Linked DNA regions of Drosophila melanogaster. The protein of the gene in region 1 purifies or fractionates together with the protein of each later gene. This does not show direct contact. Each region holds a gene or a part of one and is shown in the gene's direction. Other genes may lie near its edges.

The links.
Region 2: the proteins of mEFTs (region 1) and CG2162 purify together in Drosophila melanogaster (affinity purification with mass spectrometry, with the first as the bait; one large-scale study listed by BioGRID). This does not show direct contact.

The regions. Positions count from the first base shown.
Region 1 is NT_033779.5:17,498,472-17,502,824, reverse strand, and holds mEFTs (mitochondrial translation elongation factor Ts), read left to right. Parts: upstream 1-1,718; 5' UTR 1,719-2,156; coding exon 2,157-2,333; intron 2,334-2,541; coding exon 2,542-2,790; intron 2,791-2,895; coding exon 2,896-3,426; 3' UTR 3,427-3,557; downstream 3,558-4,353. Other genes in the region: Dhc36C (dynein heavy chain at 36C), read right to left, coding at 539-763, 826-1,358; CG15142 (uncharacterized protein), read left to right, coding at 4,063-4,353. UniProt on the Drosophila melanogaster protein: Associates with the EF-Tu.GDP complex and induces the exchange of GDP to GTP. It remains bound to the aminoacyl-tRNA.EF-Tu.GTP complex up to the GTP hydrolysis stage on the ribosome.
Region 2 is NT_037436.4:3,033,391-3,041,039, forward strand, and holds CG2162 (uncharacterized protein), read left to right. Parts: upstream 1-1,805; 5' UTR 1,806-1,903; coding exon of another isoform or gene 1,904-1,974; intron 1,975-3,100; coding exon of another isoform or gene 3,101-3,271; intron 3,272-3,338; coding exon of another isoform or gene 3,339-3,477; coding exon 3,478-3,511; intron 3,512-4,393; coding exon 4,394-4,571; intron 4,572-4,732; coding exon 4,733-5,177; intron 5,178-5,338; coding exon 5,339-5,515; intron 5,516-5,573; coding exon 5,574-5,867; intron 5,868-5,935; coding exon 5,936-6,125; intron 6,126-6,188; coding exon 6,189-6,428; intron 6,429-6,536; coding exon 6,537-6,586; 3' UTR 6,587-7,079; downstream 7,080-7,649.

The DNA.
Region 1 (4,353 bases):
CGCCAAATGCGTTGCTGGCGGTTACAGGCAAGTTACACACAACACACTCGCATTCAATTATAGCAACTTTTTCTTTTACCCATTTTTTTTTTTTTTTGCCTGCCTGCCTGCCGCCTGCCTCCCTTTTTACAATGCGCACAATTTACGTGGCACTTGGTGCGGGTGTAATTTATTTTAATTAAAAAATTTGAATTTCCCACACGCTCGGAAGTTTCTAACTTTAAATTCCCGCCCTTCGCTTGCATTGGTTTTTCAACTTTGTCGAACCAAACAACGCATGCATTTCAATATCAATTACGCTACTCTGATTTTGCCTCTCAAAATCCATTTGGCTTAAGAGAAGTTGCAATTTCATCTGCATTGCTGTATTTTTTTCTTTTTTTTTTTTGCATAGAAAAAGCTAACGAAAAACGTGAAAAATGTTTCTATATTCTGCCTGGATTATACACTTTTAACGGATCAAAAGTTTCATTTGCCATTTATCGAATAGAAATCGAAGACTTTTATCGAATTTGACATTAGCATCATGGAGACTCACCGATAGCGCCAAAAGTTCGTCATGGATTGCACCTCCCGCCGCTCGGCGGTGTCGTATTTGCCACCCACGCCCTCCTTGGTTAGGCGATCGAGGACCGTGTGCCGCAGGACGAAGTCCACAACGGCCTTCTTCATGGCGAACACGTAGTCCGCCCGGACTTCGGCTATGTTTTCATTGAGTGCCGTCTGCCACTTGTAGAGCAGTGGTGGCACAAGATCGGTTATCCTGCAGACGGAAAGCAGTTAGCAAAAAAGCAGATACATTTGAAAGTGTTCAGTGGAACGCACCTCTTGAGGATCTTCTTGCTCAACGGCGACACGTGAATGGTGTCAATGCCATGCTTGATGTAATAGTAATATCGCAGAATCTCGCGCTCCTCCTGGTCGGGAAAGGGTACGGCGCACTGGGCGGCCAGCTCGGGATCCTGGTCGTCGTCCATGTGCAGGATGAGCTCCACCAGCTTGCGGCGGAAGTGCTCCCGCTCCAGTCGCATGGTCATGTAGTTGGCCTTGGCCACGCCGCTCTCACGCTTCTTCTGGCGTTTCTTCTGCTGTTTCTTCGCGCAGAGTATGTTGTCCGGCAGGTCGGATTTCATCTTGCCGTCCAGCAGGGAGCTGGCGCATTCCGGCATGTTCAGTTCGTACCACAGGCGACGCGACTTGTACTCCGGATTGGCCTTTGACTGCAGGATGCTCTGCAGCACATCCGGCTTGGGTCGCGTGTACAGCATCTTCGACTTCTCGCATAGGCGGCGACCGCCGCATATGGACGTGAAGCTGGGGATGCTGAACTCCCGATTCGGATTCTGTCTGCCCTGCATGTTGAAGCCTGAAATCGGTTCAACGTTCGAATCAAAATGTGACTACAGAAAATGAAAATTGTTTTCAATAATTGTTTTTGAAACATAAAACGATTGTATCCCGCCGAGTTATTAATCAAAGTACTATTTAAAGTAAAAAAAAACACTAAAATATTAATTAAGAAAATAACTACGTGCGCCAGAATTAAAAAAAAAACTATTTATTAGGTTTAAGTTTTAAATATTTGGTTTCAATCCATTTCGAATCGGTTGTAACCGGTAATAGGTTGTAACATCCACTAAACGTCATTTGGCCAACGATAGCGTCGCCACTATCGATAGTCGCTTCGCAACAGCTGTTCTCCGCACACGCGCCCTACCGGCTTTTTTGCCATCCCTAACAGCCGAATTGTGCAACACGGAAAATTGTCAAAATTTTCAGTTTCAAAATTAATTGCTCGAATTAAGCACACAGAAAAGCCGAAAACTAAACTATCGACGCTTACCAGTCGTTCACCTATCGAGGCACCACACTCGCTTTGGATTTATTCGCGCCGCAACGCGATTAATTTTTCTTGAACCGAAGCGAACATACGAAGGAGTTGAAAACAAATGCAAATCTCACACAGGCTTTTCCGTTGTTTAGAATGAATTGATTTTCCGGGCAACTACTACATAGCGACAGGTCGGAAAACGGAAAAACAAACAAGCCGGCGAGTTGCCCTTGACAGCAGGCAAAGAGCAACAATTCAATTCGCACACAAATCACGCTAGAAATCATTTTGGCCTCCCAGTAAATTTCGGAAATTTTTTGGAAAAATGCTGCTACAAAGGTTTTTCACACGCGCACTTCACTCCACGCGGCAGCTTTATGCCGGCTCTGGCGGATCCGGTGGCCTGGAGAAGAGTGCCCTGGCGGCGCTGAGGAAGAAAACCGGATACACCTTCGCCAATTGCAAGAAGGCGCTGGAGAAGCACAACAACGACGTCGGATTGGTGGGTAGTTGGCTAATAGTTTTATTGCAAGCGGTGCAGTGAGCTTTCCATTACAAAGAGCACGAAATGGGGATCTCTACATTTTGAAAAATTGCTGATTTTTCTATATTATTATGTAATATATATAGCTGCACCGCATGCAAACTCCTTTGTGATCAAAACACATCTGTGCTAATCAACTCACCTTGCCATCATCTCGCTCTTGCAGGCTGAAAAGTGGCTGCACGAGCAGGCCCAGACCCTCGGCTGGTCGAAGGCCACCAAGGTCGCAGATCGAGCCACTGCACATGGTCTGATTGGAGTGCTCATCCGCGGAAACCGGGGCGCCATGGTCGAGCTGAATTGCGAGACGGATTTCGTAGCCAGGAACGATACCTTCAAGCGGTTCGTTGACCACGTCGCCTGCATGTGTCTGCAATACACGGACTTGACGGACTTCGATGGAGATCTGTGGAAGGTGAGCGAGATTTTTATGGGAAATGTACACAATATTTGGATCAGAACCGGTTTTGCATCCATTCCTAAAGAAATTGCTAATTAAAGAATGTGCATATCCTTTCAGCTTGGCTTTGATGCGGACGCCCTCAGAAACTTGCGCACGGAGGAGGGACGCACGTTGGGCGACCACCTGGCTCTGCTGATCGGCGCCATCGGGGAGAATGCCACCATCCGGCGCGCATTGTGCTTTAAGGCTAACAACGACCTGAAGCTGGTGGGCTACGCCCATCCCGCACCCACCAATGTGGGCACCACGGAAGGCATCACCCAGGTGGGCAAGTACGGAGCGATCGTAGCCTACCGATCCACGCACCCCCTGCTGGACTTTGAGTTTCACAAGAGCATTTGCCAGCAAATCGTGGGCATGAAGCCGACAAAGATCGGCGAATATGACAAGGACAAGCCGGCGGAGAACAAGGACGATGAGACGTGCCTGATTCACCAGGAGTATCTGCTCGATGCGGACAAGACGGTGGGCGAGGCTTTGCAGGAGCACAACTGCGAGATCGTCGACTACCATCGCTTCGAGTGCGGAGAGCACACGGAACGCAGCCTGGAGGCGATCATTCGCTCGCAGCACCAGAGCAGCAATTAACTAGCCATTAAGCAGAGTCTAGAACACTAAATTGTTATTAGCACAACAGCTGAAGATTGTTAAAACCGAAATTCTGGACAATGTTCTGGTCAAAATTTGCATGTAAAACAAGTAAAACAACCATTACGATCAGATCTCCACCTCTCTTATTTGAATACGCCATACCCCATGAGTCATGGCAAAAAATTGGGGTGACCAAGGAGAATGCGCCTGCGCAGAACGGGAAGCACGCTTGAGCGGCTTCCGGTCGCTGAAGCAGTGGAACCCGCGGGAAGAACGGGCGAATGGACAACGCCAGCAGAATGAACTGTTTACAAACGTGTTTTTTTGTTCTGCTTCCCGTAATTACCCACTTGGTCATGCGATAGCCCAAAAGAAAGAGCAAAAAGAAAGGTTTTTAGCTTTGGGGGCAAAGGCAAAAACCAAGTGAGGGTTGGGTATGCCACTTGCTTGGGGCTCATGTTAAGGAAATGGGAGTACGAGTAGATTTGGCCAGGGAGGAAAATCAAAATAGAAGAAATGGTTTTCCAGCCCTAAGAAATTTGCAGCACTGAAATATTAGCTACTAAGTAGGCCTGTCAAATAAATCCCTTTCATTATCAACCATCGATCGTCGTTAGAGATTCAATCGCCAAAATGGACTACCTGGACATTGAATCCTTCCGCTCCAGGTACAGCGACATAACCGTCACGGCCGTGCCATCGCGCCCCAAGGCGGACGAGGAGCCAGCAATGGACACCAACCAGGAGCTAGCAATCAAGACGCATGTGCCACAAGTGGAGATAACGAGGGTGAGTGGAGCCGCTTCTGCTGGCAGTAGCTCCACTGCGAATGCAGCGATGATGCTGCGCAACAGGCAGCAGACAAACAGCGCCGCACTTGCCTACGCCAACGAGTACAAGGAGGTGATGGCCAAACTGGAGTAC
Region 2 (7,649 bases), on another chromosome or scaffold:
GAGCGAAGGTAAAAGACTGATTTATTTCTGCCCCACCTTCATTGATGTTTTTAATTCTTACGTAAAACATTTTCCGACGCAATCTCTAGAAACTGAGACCCAATTAATGAAGAATGAGGGAAAAAGCATAGATGAATACAAAAAGCCGCTATAAGAAAAGCTTAAATAAAAGAAAAGCGTTTAATATGGGTTAATTAGACGTTACTTTGACTATAAAAAAGATAATTTTTTAAAGAATAATTTCATTGCTAACCCTAATACTCGAGGGCACACAGCGGGCCTCAAAAGTAATTAAAAGCAGATGATGTTGTAATCATAAACGAGTGGAAAACTATTTTATTAAACCAGCCAAACAGATTGCGGGCCCAAGAGATAAAAATCGAATGCAAAACGTCCTTCAATTCGGGCCCTCACAAGCGAATGGCTTTAAGATCGTAAAAATTTACAGCTTTCGTAATTGCAAAATAGTTTGGCATAACACGGAACTTATTGTTTAGGTACAGGAAAGGAATATGTACCAATATTGCCGATGGCAAACACCTACACCAGATAGATACCCAGTCATTCATGTATCCAAACACCTATCCATAAAAGATGCCTTCCAGATTTTATTGAGGCATTATCAGGCGAAATAAACGGGGACAATTTGACGAAAATTGGGGACTGGGAGGCCGAGGAGCCGGTTTTATGAATGCCATTTTGACAGGAGACGACAGCAAAGGGCGTTGCAAATTGCCGGGCGGGGCGTGGCAATGGGCATAGTTTTTGGCCAACCCTCAGACCTGTAATGAATGGCCATGTATGAGCGATAACAGAGCACTCGGAAAAATGTATCTTAAAGGTTGCTATATTTAAAGGCAAAATCATATTTCACATACAAGGCCAGTTGAAAAATTCAAATCACTTGAATGATTAATGGGTAAATGGGCAACCTTTTTCAAGTAGAGCCTAAGCCAAGTACTACCATTTAATAACAACTTGTAATTAATACGAAATGTTCTCTTTCTAGTTATTTTTGAAGTGTTTTCCGCGTGGGTTTACAGAATCGACATTTACGGCTCATAACCCACTGCACTGAAATGACGGAGTATTTGTGCTTCCCGATAGCCATTAGAAAGTGGAGCTGGTAGGCGGGGAGGGTAGTGTGGGGTGTTGCAAGTGGGTGGCTTTTGGGCGACTGGGTGGTGTGGGAGGTGTCAAGGGCGCGATAGCTCTTTGACAGCCGGGAAAGCGGATATGGAGTGAACGACAGGTTTTCCCTCAGCTCTTCCGCCTGGTAGTTCGTGTTTATGTAAAATTAATTTGAAGCTTTTAATCAAATATTAGCGGCAAAAAATGCTGCGGAGCTTGGTAGGAAAAACTGAGCCACAAAGCAGTGAAATTAAATACTTAACCTACTTTCAGCAGTCACTTTATGGACAAAATAAGAACTTATTCTCACGCATTAGCATTGTTTTAAGAAAAAAAGAATTTGCCTAACTAAAACACCAATTTGCGTTTGTAGCAACTTATTGTTCCCTCAAAAACGTTAATATAAAACTAAAACCGCACTGTAATAATGATGATACATACTAAAAATGTGAAGGGAAGAGTTAGTGATTGAGAAACGATTTATTTACTTTTACCACTTGTATTATTTGCTTTTAAAAATATCTACCGCGTAAGTATCTTACATTGTAAAATAAATGTAGGAAATGACTGATGTTATCGATTATTTATAAAATTCAAATGTTTAAGCTTTCGCGCGTAACATGGTATTTTTTAGGCAGTTATTCGCGTCCTCGGATCACAATCTGGTAACATCGAAAGTTCTAATTTTGTTTGTGTGCGTGCGACGTCGGTTTTTTCGTCGTCGCGACTTTTTTAAAATAAACTGGAGGCATTCGCAAATAATTTAAGCCTAATCGATCAGGAATTCGTACATAATGTCGGTTGTGATATCGAGCTCTTTGTCAAGAAGCGCTTGAATCGTGGGTAAGAATAAAGTCGCACCTACAAAATGAACGAATTAGAACTTTTTGCCACGAGAATAGCAAGTGCATATGTGTGGGTGTATGTTAGTGTGGGCATTTGTGTGTGTGTCTGTTGTGGTCTCTGAATGTGTGAGTGAAGGAGAAGGAAGTAGAGCTCCCCTTATTTCTCCAAAAACAACAAATACAGAGAGTAAGAAGGAAAGAGTAGGAGAGAGAATAACTTGTAACAAAGTACCGTTACAACAATGGTAATACGGAAATGTGCAACAGAGAAACAAAAACAACACCAACAACAACGAGAAGTAGTACGAGTTTTGTGGGCCTTTCGTGCAGATACCACCAGTTTTCCCCCACCCCTCCCCGTCTTTTTCTGCACAATTTCGAGTTTTCCCAGCTGCGCCACAGCAACAACAACCACAACAACGAGAGCAATTGTGACTTTTCCGCATTGCAGTTGCGCCAACTAACACCGATTTTTTGATTTGGGGCTTCGTGCCTAAGCGCTCTTCTTGCATTCAGCCCGCGTTTAATAAACAATTAATCGTCAAGCAATAAACAACAGCAAGCCGCGCATAGAAATTTGAGCTTTTTCAAAATATTACACCATCCGATTACATAATATAGTTTACAAGTCGTGCTTTGCCGTTCCGTTTTGTTTCGCTTGTTCGCCTTCTTCTTGAGGTCGTTTCTTGTGCTTCCTCTTCCAAGTGAGAATTCCCAACAACCTGTTAGAAGATTCGGTCCCATTGGGCGGCGCTCTAGCTGGGTTTATGCGGGACTGTAATCAAGATCTATCAATGGAACTAAAAATTTAATTATAGTGTGTTAACAATCAGGTAGTAAACAAGTTAGCATTAGAAGCACATTCTAAAAAAAAAAAATGGATTTACCTCTTCATTTTTAACACGGCTTTTATGAATATATGATTCATTTTTATCATACGAATTTAGTATCTAAGCTCCCAAATGTATTTCCGCCTGTTTTGCCTGTGCTTATCAGGAGTGTTTTCAATTCGCCTAATTATCGTTAATGGAGTTCCCGCATAAACGACTCACTATACACGCACGCAGTCAGCGAATTGAATTGATCGATGGTTTGTTCACCTTCTCCACCGCTTTCTTCCGCAGCGTTCTGCTCTTTCCACCTGTGGGCAACTACCGCCGTTATCTCATCCACCAAACATGTGAGAAATACCGCCAGCAGTACGATCTGTTCACCTTCTCAGTGGGCCAAGGGCCGCAGCGGCGCACCGTCCTCTGCTTTCGAAACCAGCTTCTGGATCCCAGCGGCTTTGAGAAGTGAGCATCTGATATCTGACAGTAGATTATTGTTCATTTCAATTTGTCGTTAATGCACAATTAACAGCCGCAAGCAGCAGCAGCAGAGGGAGAAGGATAGAGAGCGAGAGGCAGCGAGGAGCTGGCGGAGCAACAACAATTCGCACTATCACACGAACGGCAGAAGCAGCAGCGCCAGCAGAAGAAGCGCCACGGAGCTCTGTAAGATGGGCGTTAAGAAGCATATCAGCGAGACTCCATGTGAGTAAATGGCCCAAAGCAAGCTGGCCGTACATATAAACAAAGGCTATCCCCTGTTTTTTAATCACATTTTGGAGCGATGCGTTTTTGGCTCCCCGTTTAGCAAGCAGTCATAAATTTAAGTGTTCGCAAATACGCAAAAAGAAGCCAAACAAAGAAATCGAAAATGTAACAGGGATAGCGACGAATATGAGAATACCCAGTAATACTGAAAATTAATTCACATATTTATCTATGTACATTTTTGCCATTAAATTGCACAGTTGTGTTAGATACCCAGCAAATTGAAGCATTAATGAGCTTTCCAATCAGAAGTAATAACTAAATTCCGGCCAAGTGTATAGCAAACAGGTAGATTAACTAAAAATAACCAGATGCGCCAGCTGATCGACGTCGGCAGCGCCGTTGCCGTTCATTCAAGGTCGCCCTCTTTCTCGAGCGGATTTTTTGGTGATGTTGCATCACGGCTCACCTCACTTCACTTCACTTGGCTTCACGCAGGTAGACGCTCAACTGGTCGACCGCTGCGCACGCTCACCAGCTCTGGACCGCCCCCGCAGCCCCCCCTTGCTGCCTGGGATCCACCTGTCAAGTTCGTGTTGACATTCACGAAAATCGGGCATAGAGCGGATCGTAAAAAATTGGGTCGACATGAGTGAATTTTGCTTTTAATTTATTTTATGCCGAATCCGTTGCTTCACCTTAGTCTCTATTTTATTCGTTTTGTTTTGAGCATTTGCCAACTATTGTTGCTAATCGTCTGCTTAGCTCTCCCATTTGGCGATCTATCTTCGTATCATGTGAAGTATCTCACATTCGGCATCTTGTGTCTCTTTCTCAATGTATCTCATGGATGGCGCCTTCTCTATCTGTATCTTGCAGTAAGCAAATCGAATTCGGTGGATTTATACAGGCCGCCAGCGTTGAGGAACAATAGCAATAACAACAACAGCAGCAGCGAGGAAGCAGCTGCAGTAAACGAAGCTATAACAACACCATTAGCTGCAGGAACAGCAACCACTGCATCTACAAGTCCTACCTCCAAAGAATCCCCAAACAGGTAGGTAAATCGATTTGCAACCCATCAAAGTTAGGAATAGATCATAAACTGCGTATATACCTCTAACGAAACTGTTGATATTCTGTCGTGAGCTAATCTCGTTACCTCGTTTCCTTCACCGTTTATTATTATTATCTCTGTTTTGCTCCGCTCTTTCGTAGAGAGGCGGACGCCTCAGCAGCAGCAGCGGCGGCGGCGACACGACGTGAACGCCGTCCCGATCGAGCGGTTTATGTGCCAAGGGCACGACGCAGTCAAACTACACCACCGACTACTACAACAACAACAACGGCGGCGGCAGCGACAGCGGTTGCAACAACATCACCACCAGCAGCAGCAGCGGTGGTCGCAGCAACAATTACAACAGCGCCGGATTCCCCGCCAGTTGCAGATACACAGCCGAGCAAAGCGGACGACGTCAACGGTCAGCCGCCGTCCAAGTCGAAGAAAAGCAAATCGCATCGGGAGCGCAGAGAACGCGCAAAGAAAACGACAACAGCTACAACGGCCGATAACGCCACTGTACTGGTTATATCAGCATCTGAGAACGATACTCAATCCAACGAAGAACACCGACCGGCAAAGCCAGCGGACTGTGATAAGGAGGTGTGTGTACTAAAACAAGACAAGAACGTATATAAGCGAATCTAAAGCCTATGAATTAGTTCTTATTAACAATAATTGTTCAGCGTAGCGCCATTCTCCATCAGCAGTTAGAATTTTTTAATACACATTTTAATAGCTGACCTTGCCTTTCTAACATACAGATCATGAGCGGCGCCCAGCGTACAAAGCCAGGCAATGGCAACAAATCAGCCAGCAATGGCAAAAGCCAGGCATCGCCTCCGCTGCGCATCGAGGATGTGGTGGCGGCCAGGAGCACCAATGGCGAGGAGCCGGCCAAATGTGATAACGATGTGCGCGAGCTGCAGCGAGCCTCAAAGGTAAGTTATGCCGCATGGAATCAGCGAAATGTTTTAACTAACTTCCAAACGATTGCAGGAAATCAATCGCAGCAATCGGCGCATCATGAAACAAACCTTCAACTCAGATGTGCTGGAGATTCCCGAGAAAATAGAGACATCGGCAACAAAGGCCATCCCCACATCCCCGCAAGCATCAGCCACAGCGAAACCACCTGTAGACAGCACCACCGAAGACGATGACGAGGAGGACGAGGACGACTGGGAGAAGATGTTCGACGAGAGCGGCGACTGTCTGGATCCCAAGTTACTCCAAGAACTGACTGAATCCGTGGGCAAGTGCAAAATAGAGCTGCCCAAAATGGACTATACGGTAAGTAGATATAACTGGTTAACCAGCATCATCATCAAATTAAACACTCTGTTCCACAATTCGTACAGGTCTTTCACATTAAACAACAACTGCTCAACGAAGAGGAATTTCCGCACGTTCTGGAGGTGTCCAATTTCCCAGTGGAGTTCAAAACTCCCGACCTGCTCATGCTTTTCGCCCAGTACAGGGGCAGTGGTTTCGACATCAAGTGGGTAGACGATACCCATGCCCTGGCTGTGTTCAGCAGTTCCCGCATTGGTGAGTGCCTACAAATGCAACCGGAGATTGGTTCGGTAATGAAATAGAACGTTTCCTCCGCAGCTGCTGAGGTGCTGACGATGGGGCATCCGTTTGTCAAGTTGAAGCCACTTGCGGAAGCCACTCTGGAGTCACGACTGAAGGCAAAGAAGGCCGGCGCGGTGTCAATGCAGCCCTATCGCCAGCGTCCGGAAACCTGCACGGCCTTGGCCCGACGACTGGTATCGGGTGCACTGGGAGTCAAGCTGCCCACGGCGCCGCAGGAACGGGAGAACGAGAGGCGGGTACTACGTGAAGCCAAAGGTGAGTGCGGGCCATGTAACTAAACTGGGTCAAGGATATACTTGATTTGGAATCATTGGCGCTGCCTTCCCTTGGTCTTTTATTAATCTGCCTTATCTTTTTATTCAGAACGCAAACTGCTAGCTGCCAAACAGCGGGACGAAGTCTGGGAGAGCTAGACCGCGGCCCGGAAGAAGGCCAGGTGCATTTTTCTCACCCTTTTCTCATCTGCAATAAATGCGGCAGCAAACACAACACCATGTGGATCGACAACAAGAAACACCACCATTAACGCCCACAAAAACAATTCTCAATCAAAGCTAACACAGTAAATGAGTAATTCGCATGCTAAGCAATGTACTTTTAATGTTCGCTTTTTGTGAAATTAACACAGACTTTTGCTCAATTTGTTGTAGTTTTTAGAGGATGCAATGCATATTATATCATCTAGGCCGTAAGAGAGAAATATCTATATTTATTGGTCGTAGCAATTAAACGTGCAGAGAGACGCGTGTACGTGTTGTTTTAACTCCAGCCGTAAACCTAATTTTTAAGCGCGAGCAATTTATATATTGATATACAGTTTGTCAAGAAACTGTTTACACACTGTGAAATAAGTTGAATTTTTGACTTTAAAGCTAAAAATAAAGGGTTTTTTGCTTAATTAAACGCAATTTTTTTATAAAATATAATTAAACAATATTTATTTTACTTATAAATCAAAAAACAAATTAAAAATATTAAATATACAAGAAAATAAACAACAAATTCCAAGTTTACACACTTTTGAGACTGTCAAGAAACTCTTTACACAAAACACTAAATCGAAGTTTAATCCTAAATTTTTTAATTATTTTATTAAAATTTTAAAAGTTTTGGTATGTAGTATGTTCCCCATTGGCTTTAGCTACAAGTTGAAGCCTTTTTTTCATGGATTGGACAAGTTTTTGCAGGTCATATTCAAACGGGATCTTTTCACACTCTTCGACTATTACAGTCATAAGCTGTTGTTGTGTTTTAGGTCCCTTTTTGCCACCTTCTTCTTTAAGTAGGTCCACAAATTTTCAATGGGGTTCAGATCAGGACTCTGAGGGGGCGTATCGATCACTTTACCACAGTTATTAAGGCGCCAGGTGCGTACATTGCACTCTTTATGTTTCTGATCATGTCCTGGTAAAACTTAAGATTTGGCTTGTTGTTGCTAACTAGACCGAATTTTTCTGCACTGGCCTTCAAATTTGT